2 linked regions of the Canis lupus familiaris genome follow. The protein of the gene in region 2 purifies or fractionates together with the protein of the main gene of each other region. This does not show direct contact. Links are inferred from orthologs where the notes say so. Each region holds a gene or a part of one and is shown on either strand. Other genes may lie near its edges.

Region 1 (6,002 bases), on a different chromosome or scaffold from region 2:
GACTGACCACCATCATTAGCCTGTTTCTTTGAACGGGTAATGGGATTTTTGTTGTTGTTGGTTTTGACTATTCCCAATGCATATTTTGTCCCAGGAAGGTTGATTTGGGAAGCTGTGAGACCTGTGCTCTGCTCCTGGCTCTCTGCTGTACCAGCTTTGTAGATGGGAGCCTTGCTGTTGGCAGGGCTCTCCTCTTCTCACCTGGAAGATGGAAGAGTCATACTAGAGAGAGTGCAATAGGGAGAGCCAGTCGTGTTCAGTGTGCTGCATGGAACCTGCAGGGCAGTGATGGCCAGCACATCTGACCACTTCCATGCCTTCCCTGGTAGTGTCTCCTCCCCAGGCACTCTCCAGAGGCTGTCGTAATGGTCTCGGTGGGGAAGTAGAGGATGTGTAGCTTCCCTCGCTAGTTTCACCTTCAACCCAGCTTCGAAGTTCTGAGTTCATGAAATAAATCGCCCTCTGTATAACATTCTCCCTGGCCTCCCACCTCCCCCATCCCAGCCTGTCCTGGGGATGTTGAGGTCTTCCTGGTGACAGTAATTTGTTGCTAATAACTCCTGAGCTTGCACGATTACGATATGCTAATTTTTACATGGCAGGAATTTGATCGTGCAATATGCACAGGCTTTTTTCTTTTCCTTTGAAGTATTAGTCTCAGCCGAACTTCATTATTTGTCCTTATCCATAATTTCTGGGGCCCAGTTGCTTTAGATTATTAAGATACTAGATAAAGTGATCCATTTTTAAAATAAATGTGACATTTTACAGTGTGGATGAAACGCTACCACGTGTGGTGTTTGCCGAGAACTACTTTACTTTGCATAAAAAAGTCCTTTATTACATAGTTGGTGACACTTGCGCTTTCATTTATTTCTGAACAGCATGATGTAGAAATAAATAAAATTATACCCACAACTGCATCAAAGACAGAAACACCAACGGTGTCTAAAGCTCTGAGTTCTTCTTTGGATGACACTGAAGTTAAGAAGGTGATGGAAGAGTGTAAGAGGCTGCAGGGTGAAGTGCAGAGGCTCCGGGAGGAAAACAAGCAATTCAAGGTAATGGCATTTTCTTTTCTTTTCTTTTCTTTTTTAAGATTTTATTTTTTTAAGTAATCTCTCCATCCAACATGGGGCTTGAACTCACAACCCTGAGATCAAGAGTCACACGCTCTATCAACTGAGCACTCCAATAGTGTTTTATTTCTTGATAATCTATAAAAAACAGGGACTTTTTAACACTCTGATCTTGAGTGGGGGAGTTGACAAATCCCTGAATTTGTAGAGTTGTTTTGTATTTACACATTCTTCCCCTAGGGAGAAATTTCTGTGGCTTTCATCAGGTTCTCAAAAGAGCTCTGATTCCCTCCTGCCACCCCACTCCCACCCCTCAAGTTAACCAGTGTCTGAGGAGAAGCTTTTCAACTATTTAAATTCTTGTTCCCTTGTATTTGATATGTTGTAATAATGTATTTCATCCTCTAAACCTTTCTGTGAGTAGGGATTGTTACCATCCCCAGTGTGCAGGTGAGGAGACTGAGGAGCAGAGGTTAAGTGACTTGCCTGAGGTCGTACTTGCAGTGAGACTTGAACCCAGGCTTTGTGCCCTGAGCTCACAGTGGTTCCATTCTCCGGCCTCAGCCTGCAGACTCTTGTCCTCTTGTAAGAGCTCCTCTTGCCTTCACATTAGTGTAAACTGAAGATAAATTCTGAGACTAAACACAAAACTGCAGTGGTTATCCTGAATTCACAGTGTCAAACCCTACTATATCCCCAGTAGGTGAGAATCTTTTCTTTAGGAGGGTAAATAGGTAAATACCTGTACTCTTTTAACATAGGCATAATTCTGGTTTTTGAAGATTCTAGGTGGGTCTGGGCAGTAGGATCTCCTCAGATTGGTTCACATGGTGATGAGATTGGAGATGGGAAGTTGTCACAGTAGACAGGTGGAGATTATAGAAGGAGAAACCCGGGTCTCCAGCTTGTGGCTGTTGAAGAGGTAGTTGGCATGGGTGTTAAGAGGGTCAGGTTGAACTGGGCAGTAAAGGAAAGTAGGGTGCACTTCATTTGGCCTTGTTGGCCTACGGTGTTATGCCAGTGACTGCTCACACTTGACTAGCTCTGGATCTGTGATGGTCACAGCATCTCCTGGGCCTCGACTCACAAAACCTGTCTGAGGCGCCGTCCAGCCTTAAAAGTATGTCTATTTCAGACATGGTCTTGAAGAGAATGGTTCTGAGCATCTGGTCATAGGAACGTCTGTTGCAGCTTAAATATGAGGCTGGTCTGTTCACTTCTCGATCATGCCACTCACCCATGCCCTAGGCTTTTGCTCTTTAACCACCATAGCACTAGACACATGTAATAAATACATTCCATTCAGTTGACTTCTCCTTCTTTTATTCTGACAGTGTTATAGATACAGGAGACCTGACAGTGTCTGGAGAATGGCATCATCTTCTTTTTTTTGCAGTAATCTTGATTTGCCTCGTTCAGTAACTTCTTTTAGTATGGTGTAAATTATGAAGCTGACACTTTACTTTTTGACTAAAAATCTAAGATATGCCTAAAGCTTCTCCTTGAGTGTATTTCTCTTCAGAAACAGAGTCCTGTGCCGTTTAAAGTGATAAATAGGTAGAAATAGCTTCTGTATAAACCCAATAAAATAAATGCTGTATTTTGCTGTGCCCATTTTTTTTTGAAGTTAATCGAATAACACCAGTCATTTATCACTGTGCAGCGATATTGGCCATGCCCCATGAGCAGAATATCTTTAAAATATTATCAGACCAATCTTGACATTAGAAGATTCTTTATCCTGCCAAATACTGATTTCTTGTTTTGTGTTGTTTCATTCTTTCATTTGGCCAACACATTTTCTGAGCCCCTCCCATGTACTAGCACTGTGGGCACAAATACAAGCTGTCCCTGCCACTGAGGAGCTCCCTGCTGACCAGGGTAGCTGGGGACAAAAGTACTGATGAGCTGAATGATGAGTGGCCCCACAGAGATGGCCACAAGTGCTGTGGAGAGTCAGCACAATGGCCTGCCTGTTGTCTCCAGGACGGACAGGTTTGGGGATGAGTAGTTGGGGTAATTAGCCAGAGATGCACCTGAGCCCAAGTACAGAGGCCTTGCTGCATGCCCTGTTGAGGGGTGTGGAGTTGGCCTTGGGAGTAAAGGAAGAAAAAGTTTCTATTCCATGCATTAAGTAGAAAAATATCTGAGCTGCATATATGAGATTCAGTCACATTTTAATATTCCAAATATCATGTTTTCTGTCCAGCAGTCTACATGTAACTCATCAATACAGAGTTCTGCATTTGAAAGCTGCTGCACAGTGTAGTTTCTTGTGATTTTTATATTTGTGCTTTGAGAAATGCCTATCATTTCAAAACTGGATGACTTGGTTAGGGAAGCCTGCTCCGTAGAGGGAGGGAAGACAGAGAGGGTTGGAGTCCGATGTAGAAGGGTGGCCCGGAGGCATGGCCAGAGAGGTAGATGGCTCCTGGGGGCAGAAGAGACTGGCTGAGCCTTTCAGAGGCTTTTTTCTGTAAGTCCTGGGGAACCAAGGTACTTAGATGTATGGTATAAAAAGGTGCCTAGCAGCATTGTGTAGGTGGGTGGAAGGAAAGAGGGGTTTCTGGCAATATATTCTGAGTGACCTCAACCCAGTGCCTTCTCTGTGGGATTCAGTTTCTCCCTTTGAAAAATGAGGAGGCTGGCCCACACCATGTGATTCAAGTGTGTTTTTTAAAGGCCCATCCTGTTGAACTGACAGTTGACTTTTGCTTCTGGTGCCTTGGGTTGTCTTTGAAATGTGCCTTTGCTCCCGTAGGAGGAAGATGGACTCCGGATGAGGAAGACAGCTCAGAGCAACAGCCCTGTGCCTGTGTTAGCTCCAGCTGGGAAGGAGGAGGGCCTCAGCGCCCGGCTCCTCGCCCTCGTGGTTTTGTTCTTCATCGTCGGTGTGATCATAGGGAAGATCGCCTTGTAGAGGCAGTGGGCACAGGGCGGCACACTGGATTGATGGGCCCGCCATCCCCTGGGCTTTGACTTTATCATAACCATGTGTAAAAAAGAAGTTCATGTATGATGACATCTCACAGGTCTTGCCTTTAAATTACTCCCTCCCTGCGCGTGCGCACGCGTGCACATACACACACACAATTATAACGTAACAATCCTTTAGAGAGTTAAAAATGTATAGTAAATGATTGGGGGAAAAGAATGGTCTTTATTAATGACAAGGGAAACCGTGATTAAATCGTAATGGCATGTCGTGTCATTTTAAACATGTGTAGCCTTGGTACATGTGGCTGGGTTGATTACTTCTCTTAGAACAAGACACTCTTCCTGCCTGTTGGTGCCGGGCCTTGGGGAGCTGGAACCCAGTGCGGTGGGGAGGGCCGTCACCTCCACATAGCAAGCCCCACCCACTCACTCACTCTCTGGGCTGCTGCTCCACGTTCTGTCCCCAGCTGTCGGTTCCTTGGGACTGATGAACAGGGTCAGAAGCCAATGGCATTGTGCTGTGGCAGTGTCAGATCTGCCCATCAGGAGCGAGAGGCAGTGGGAGGCAGCAGGAGGTGGACTGACCCAACACTTTGGAAATGAAAGTCAATGCTTTGTTCTCTTAAAGGGACCAAGCTAAATTACTGTTGGTTCATGTAGTGAGATTGAATTGTTATTCAGAGATGTTTAATGCATATTTAACTTATTTAATGTATCTCATCTCATGTTTCCTTATTGCCACAAGATTATAATTAATGCTGTGGCCTAAAAATCACCTGTGCTACCTAATGCCAGTGGGTGACGCTGGCACTGCTGCTGGAGAGCTGTGGGCTCCTCTCTCTCTCTCTCTCTCTCTCTCTCTCTCTCTCTCTCTCTCTCGAGGTTCTGGGCTCTATGTAAGCTTGGAGGTGTGGTTTATTGGAATGTTGTAGAACAGCTGCCAGAAGTGTTTCACTGTGTAAATAAATAACAACTGTCAAAGAGAGGGAAGTCCTTAGTAGCAACAGTCAACTCTGTTACCCTTTCTAACTGGAGAAGACTAGCTGATCTTGTTTTTTTCCCTCATTACCCCTCAGCCGCCACTCATTCTTCCAGCACATGTGCCCCAAGTCTGGTCCTGACCTTTCCCATGTGGCCCTTGCTTGGAATGAGGCAGCAGAATGGTAGCAGACAGGGAACCAGCTGGGTGGGGGCGGGAGAGGGGTGAGAGGCTCCAGATAATCGTCAAGTAGTGATTGAGAGTTTGACTGTAAATTAATTTTATGCCATAAAAGACCAATCCAATTCTGTTTGACTATGTAGCATCTTAAAAAGAAAAAAAATTAAAATAAAGCCCCAGAATTAAGAGTTCTTTTGTCATTTTGTCACACTTGCTATAGGGGGGAAATTATTATCCTTATGATCCTCAATATTATTTTGTTATTGGAAGGTTGGTTTTAAAATGAGCCCTATCAATTCAATGAGAAATATATATGTTTAATGATTTGAAGTGTGTGTGTGTGTGTGTGTGTGTGTGTACTATTGGCTTCAACTGAGAGTGTAAAAATAAAACTGCTGAAAAATCTTTAAGCAGCTGGTCACCCTTACCTTTCCATTGCTTTGCCCCTCAGTAGAAAGAAATGTCTCCTCTGTGTCAAGGAGCCATGCAGAAGATTAGGGACCGGCATGCTGAGCATGGCTCCGGGAAATGGGTGGGTTTGAAAAGACAGTCATCAAAAGGAAGACAGTTCTTAGAAGTCATCCACTTGAGTCACATTTCTCCTGAGCTTGGCCAGGGCAAAAGGGCCTCGCTTCTGGCCCTGAGGATCTGATCAGGGACCTAGAGCCTGAGAGGCTGGGTGTCTGTGGTCTAAGTAAGTAGCTTCTGTCTTCATGAGAAGTTACTATATCCCGAGTACTCATGGGGAACATGATCAGACCTGGTTCTCAGCCACCTGCCTGGTGGTCGGTCTGCGTGGAGTGTGTGCACATGGAGGGCTGCCCAAG
Region 2 (6,610 bases):
TAAATATTTAATAAGAACAATTGTTTAAGTGTCAATTACCTTAGTAGTTAGACGCTGGGGGGCGGGGGGAGCCACGGTCTGAGGCATTTGACTATGTTGCCTCTCTTGGAAGAGCCACGTGGGCAGATCTCTGGCTGTTTGGGGCAGAGATGAGAACAGGAATTTGGGGTCTGCTCTGCTTTCCTCTCTCTGGTCAGGATGGGGTGAGGAGGAGGAGACAGGAAGGCAGTGCATATCTCGGGCTCCCAGGGCTTTATTACATTTGCAAAACTGGTCTGCAGATGCCACACAAGATAGAGAGCTCGCTCCATCCAGAATCACCCACCCCGCTGCTGACTGCTCTGGCAGCCACATGCCCACCAGATAACATCTTTAATATCCAGGGGGAAATGAATTCCCCCGCTTGGTCTGCCCATCTGGCCTTGCCTCTTGCCACAATTTATCTGGCAGATCTTTCTCCCCTGCAGAAAGAGGAGAAATTGTTCTTCTACAACTCAGTTTTTCATCATGAAAGCATTATCTAAGTGGCCAGGCCTGGATATTGGTTATTCTTTCTTTCCTTTCTTCCTCCACATTCAGCTTCTATGGGTGGCGTCTGCATTGGAGCTCAGGGGATGTGGAGATGAATTGAGCACGAACCCCATCCTGGAAGAGTGAACACTCCAGTTGGGTAGCCAGACTAGAAAGCAAATAATCATGGCACCAAATGTAATGGAGGTAACGAAGCCCCAGGAATAAAGAAAAACAAAAGATTAAGTCCACTAAGGTGGTAGTCTGGGAAGATTCTCCAAAGGAAATGGCTTTTTATTCTCTCTAAAAGTTAATATTTTTTCTTATTACTAAAGAAACACATGCTTATCTCTGAAAAAATGAGAAAAATTATGGGAAAAGTCTATAAAAAACACTCTTTTCTCACCAGCAAGACAATTATAGTGTATTTCAGGATATACCAACTGAACTAAATCCTTAAAAATTAATAGGCGGTCTTGGTAAATTTCTATTCCTTAAGCTGTGGGGTGGGAACCTTGTCTTTAAATTGTTCTTGTTCGTTACAGTGTACATTATATTAAACGTACTCTCTTATTTGTAAAATATCTCACAATTAAAAAGTAAATAGAATATCTAGTCAAGGATTTGAGAAGGACTCTTAGATGTTTCAGCTGTGTCTAAACAAAATTTTAACTTGAAAGAAATGCTGATGGTAAAACTGGAATTGTACTCCTGTATTTTCAGTTTTTAAAAATATAAGAAGTTACATAAAATCTCAAAAGTAAAGTGGAATTATAAAAATCAATGGGCCATGGTGATGTTAATATAAAATAAAAATAAAAACTTTTTAAAGAAGATTTTATTTATCCATTCATTAGACACAGAAGAGAGGCAGAGGGAGAATCAGGCTCCCTGCAAGGAGCCCAAAGCAGGATTCGATCCTGGACCTCAGGATCACGCGCTGAGCGGAAGGCAGATGCTCAACCGCTGAGCCACCCAGGCGTCCCTAAAAATAAAAACTTAAAACTGTCAAGTTATTTTACCAGCAAAAACATAGATTTATTTAGGAATAGCAGAGGTTTGCAATCCAGGACAATGAACCTGCAACAAAACCGTAGGCAAGTTCAACAAAGAAGAGGAATGTTATTTTATGGAAAAGAAAGAATTTGGGAGGAATTGTTTTGAACACCAATCTATTGAAGAGAAGCAAGAGTTTAGGGTGATGATGGTTTCTCATTGGCGGGTTTGTAGGGGCAGGGTAGCCCATTTATTGCAGGAGATGCAATGTACATCTTTTTCTGTGGGAGCCTGTAACTTATGATTCTCTTCTTCTTCTTCTTTTTTTTTTTTTATGATTCTCTTCTGTTGAGATTCTTCTTTTAGGGGTCTGTAATTGACAATTCTTCCTGTAATTGACATTAAGTGGTATAGTTGCCCCTTCCAGCCTTCCTTTCTAGCAGCCTGTGTCCACTTTAGTGGTTTCCCTTTATTAATTTTCACAATGGACACAGAACTCCTGAAGAATACAGATTTTTTTAAAAAAATGAAATGGTTTCTGAGTCAATTTAAGCAGAGATCAACTCAAGTTTCAGCCAAATGTTTAAAAGGTGTTATCATTAGAAGAATGAATCTCATTTACATTTTGGAAATGGAAACCAATTTTTTTTTTTTTAGATTTTATTTATTTATTCATGAGACACACACAGAGGCAGAGGCAGAGGCGGAGGGAGAAGCGGGCTCTCTGAGGGGAGCCCCCGGGGGACTCCATCCAAGGACCCTGGGATCACGGCCTGGGCCAAAGACACTCAACCACTGAGCCGGCAACCCAGAAAACCAATTTTTAACCCTGTTCTTGATTAAGGTGCTACAGATCATGCAAGGTTTAAGGTTTTTTTTAGTGCTGGGGTTTGCATCTATTTTATGAATTTTTAAGCGCCAACCGGCAGGAGCTGGCCCTCGAGTCGGGGATCTCGAGCAGGTAACCACCAATTCACCTGCTGCAATCTGAAGTGCCAAACGGGCCACTATCTTGTGCTCAGTAATCGAGTCGAGTAAAAATGCACAAATAAATCAAGTCGAAATCAAATAAAGTCTGAGTTCTGACAGTGTGTCAAGGAAAGGTGGGGAGCAGGTGGGGTTGTCCAGATCGATCACGCGTTGGTCTAGGCACAGGCGACGGTAGACGCAAACGGAGACAGACATTCGGGAACTGCAGAAAAACTGGTGTGACTGGAGGGAAATGGAACCTCATCTGGCCAGACAAGGTGCTGCGGGAGCCTCCGACCTGGTCTCCCCGGCTCCTCCTCCCCACCTCCCTTTCCCGTTCCTCGGTTCCCCTCTCCCGCTCCCTGCCGGCACCGCCCCTCGGCAAGAGCGTGGGCGGAAATGGGGCCTTGCAGGTCATCTCTCCGCGCCTACCTAAGGGCGCGCCGGGCTGCTGGCGCCGCTCGATGACGTCACGGTCATTGACAGCGTGCGGCGGCGGCCGCGGTGGCTGCTACCCGGGCTGGGGGCGGCCGGGTAAGGGTCTGAGTCGACCTGCCCGGCCAGGGCGTCCTCCGGGGGCGCGGGAGGTGGCCCAGGGCTTGCAGCCGGGGCCGGGGGGGCCGTGTGCAGAGCCGTGGGGTTGGGGGAGGGAGTTAGGAGGCCCAGAAACCTGACTCTGAGAGGAGGGCGGCGGGTGTGCTGGAGGGGAGGCTGCGTCCAGGTTGGGAGAGAGGCCCGGCAGTCGGGCACCGGGGTCTGGCGGCAACCTCCGGGCCGGGATTGGGGTGAGGGTAGTCGGGGCCTCGGGAGCTTGGGGCTGGGAGGAGCGCGCTCACGAGTCTCTCTCCCCCTGGCCCCGGTGCCTCGCGCGGCTGCAGGTGCAGCATGTCTAGACTGGGGGTCCTGGGCGGCGCCCAGGCCGGGCTGGGACTGTTGCTGGGCACCGCCGCGGGCCTTGGATTCCTGTGTGCCCTTTACAGCCAGCGGTGGAAACGGAGCCAGCGCCACGGCCACAACCAGAGCCTCCCTAATTCCCTGGACTACGCGCAGACCTCAGAGCCAGGACGCCAGGGTACGAGCCAGTCTCCTGAGACCAAAGTCATGGCTGACGGATAGGCCTAGGGTCCGGGCTGCCTTGAGAAGAGCCTGTGGGACAGGAAACGGAGGGGGGTGGGTACCTGAGGGTTTCACCTTTTTGTAAAGCTTACTGAAAAGGCAAGCAGTCTTCCTCTTCTGTACTTTTTCCTATAATTGCAGGAAAAGGCTTGTGAAAAGGCTGTTTAGCTGTCACTTTTAGTTCAGGCCACGTTTTAAAGGTACTTAGTGTTGGGTGAGGTGTTTAATAAGTAGAGAAAGTCCAAAATAAGGCAAAAGGGAAAACTAACCTCAGGGGAATTAAGCCTTAAGGCTTACGTGTTCAATTATGTGTTGGAATTTGAAAGGAACTTGGAGACTATCCAAGTTTTGTTTTGGTTTTGTTTTTTTTTTTTTAATCCTTTTTAGGAGAAAATCGAGATTCAAAAAGATTATGTAACTTTACCCAGGTTGTCACAGAGCCATTAAGTGGTAGGATTGGGCCTGGTCACCTGGTCCTGTGGACTTCCAGGGCATGGATGTGGGGTGCATATACAGTAGAAGCTTACTGTTGCTGGAAGCCAGCCACAGCTGAAATAGGTAGTGCTTTTGTCACTTTGACCTTAAGTCATTTGAGCAAGGTATCTAGGGCTGGTTCAAACCACTCTCAGGTGTGTGTAATAGAGGAGCATTGCGGTCACCTCATCCCACGTTAATTGGGAATGAGTGTTTTCTCTGATTACCAAATGCCAGATGGGTTGGAAAAGTTAGCTTTAGAAGAGTCTCCAAAGAGCTATCAATTTAGATTGCAACTGTTTGTCCACATTTTATAACCTACTGGTAACCTAGTAAATGTGCTTGTCTTTCCTTTTCCTTGTGGTTTGTAATTTCTTGGCAGTAGATGTTTGGAAAATGTGGGCCAAGTTCCCAGAGATTTCTTTTTTTTAAGTTTCGTTTAAGTGATCTCTATACCTGACATGGAGCCCAAACTCACGACCCCACGATCAAGAGTCGCGTGCTCTACCAACTGAGCCAGCCAGGCCCCCCAGAGATCTTTCTTGCTCTACATTCTTGAATAATGTTGGGTGTGTACTGTAATCCAACCTAGACCCTTAACTAGATTTCCTTGAACGCATTTGTGCTTCCCTGGACTGTGGGTCCTGCCTTCCTGGTTTCTTTATTTTTACATTTTCCAGTAGAGTTGCCTTGGGTAGCTACCAGTTTATTAGCATTTATTGTTGGAATTGACCCGGAGCTCAGATGAGGGCTCAGGAATGGTGTTTTTCCTATGGGGAGTGGATGGGCTTTTCTCAGCATACCTTTTCTCTAAGTGTCTGCTTTCTCCTTGCCTTTCTCGAATGATACTAAATGAAGTCCCTGGGAGGAGCTCAGAGTTTTCCTGGCTCTTCTTTGTGAAGTGAAAGCTCAGAATTTGAGTAAATTCCCTTTAGTTTTGCTGTATAGTTAGTACTGACTGCCTGGTATCTGGGAACTATCCCGGCAGGCCAAGGGTTTGTTTTCCTCTTACAGGGCAGTGCTCTTGGCAAGCATTTTACATTACCTGCTAAAGACCCCAATGTGGAAGGTTCTTGGAACAGAGTGGGCTCTTGTTTAGAAATTGGGATCTTGATTTTTTTCTTTGAGTAGTTACTCGAGACTTACTACCAGGACGTAGCTGTGAACATAAACTATCTGAGCCTCAAGGGTTTTTGTAAATTGAGCTCCAGTGAGAAGCAAGTGTTCTTAAATTCCAGGTCCAAGGTCTTTCCCTCACCCTGCCTCAGGAGCATCACTGTCTGCTCTCCTTCCTGCAGTGAGGCTTCTCCGAGCAGTCCCAGGGGAAGCGGGAGATGCTGCAGTGCTGCTCAGCCTTCCACGAGAAGGGCAGGAGGAGGTGCTGGACCGCCTGGACTTTGTGCTGACCAGCCTGGTGGCCCTGCGGCGGGAGGTAGAGGAGCTGAGGAGCAGCCTGCAGGGGCTTGCTGGGCAGATTGTTGGGGAGGTCCGGTAAGTGATGCAGCCCTCTGTCCTGCCTTGTTCCTGCCCACCAACTTTTCCCAGCCCCTAGAGCTTTTTCAACTGGGCTGTGCCCTGGCCTTTGTTGCTGTGTCTAAGGAAGAAGCCAGTTCTATAACTTCTCACACAATCGGCAGGGAAGCTGTGTGCTTGGTACCTTGCCTTCCATAAGTTCCTTGCCGCTTTTGGGCTCTTATGGTCTGTTGTAGCAGCTGAAATGCTTTGTTCTGATTTACCTGGTCTGCCGCTGCAGGCTGGGTCCAGGGAGAAGCCTTTCTTGTTCTCCTGAGGGTAGAAACCCAGGATTTTCTCTGGCTTCGGCCCTTTAATGAGCAATAGTAGTAAGACGTTCCCTCATGGGGAGGGGAAAGACAGACTGTCTGGGGCCCAATAGCACCATCTCCAAAGGGGCCTGCCTTTCAGATCTCATATGGAAGAGACCCAAAGAGTGGCTCGGCGGCGAAGGTTCCCATTTGCCCGGGAGAGGAGTGACTCAACTGGGTCCAGCTCTGTCTACTTCACGGCCACCTCTGGAGCCACGTTCACAGATGCCGAGAGCGAAGGCGGGTGAGTCATTTCTCTTTTAAGCACTTGTGGCTTCAACTAGGTTATGTTTTGTAAAAGTACTATTTACCTATGGAAAATTCACACTGAGCTGCTATAAATAATTTTGGGAACATGGTAAAGGTATAAATGAATAAAATAGGGAATTGGTTAAATAAGAAAAACCATCCACCTTATGTCACCCAGGCAAATGAAATGTTAACAGTGCTTATTGTTGCATCTGTCCTTTCCTCTGAGTAGGTTTTTAACACAGTTACTGTAATTCTTATTTGACTATTTTTTTTAAAAGATTTTTTATTTACTCATTTGAGAGAGAGCACAAGTACAAGGGAAGCAGAGGGAGAGGGAACAGCAGACTCCTTGTTGAGCAGGGAGCCCGGTGAGGGGCTTGATCCCAGGACCGGGGATTATGACCTGAGCCGAAGTCGCTTAACTGACCGAACCACCCAGGAGCCCCTGTTTTCATTTCTCCTATAACATT

Evidence for each region. The genes of interacting proteins can lie anywhere in the genome.
Region 1: the proteins of RMDN3 (region 2) and VAPB purify together in Homo sapiens (affinity purification with mass spectrometry; 4 studies listed by BioGRID and IntAct, counting the BioPlex papers as one, with this or other methods). This does not show direct contact. The link is inferred for Canis lupus familiaris from reciprocal best matches to the Homo sapiens genes RMDN3 and VAPB.

What each region holds. Positions count from the first base shown.
Region 1 is NC_049245.1:43,975,248-43,981,249, forward strand, and holds part of VAPB (vesicle-associated membrane protein-associated protein B/C), read left to right. Parts: intron 1-884; coding exon 885-1,061; intron 1,062-3,840; coding exon 3,841-3,999; 3' UTR 4,000-6,002. UniProt on the Homo sapiens protein: Endoplasmic reticulum (ER)-anchored protein that mediates the formation of contact sites between the ER and endosomes via interaction with FFAT motif-containing proteins such as STARD3 or WDR44.
Region 2 is NC_049251.1:8,178,205-8,184,814, reverse strand, and holds the start of RMDN3 (regulator of microtubule dynamics protein 3), read left to right. Parts: upstream 1-2,868; 5' UTR 2,869-3,009; intron 3,010-3,353; 5' UTR 3,354-3,360; coding exon 3,361-3,547; intron 3,548-5,363; coding exon 5,364-5,556; intron 5,557-5,988; coding exon 5,989-6,132; intron 6,133-6,610.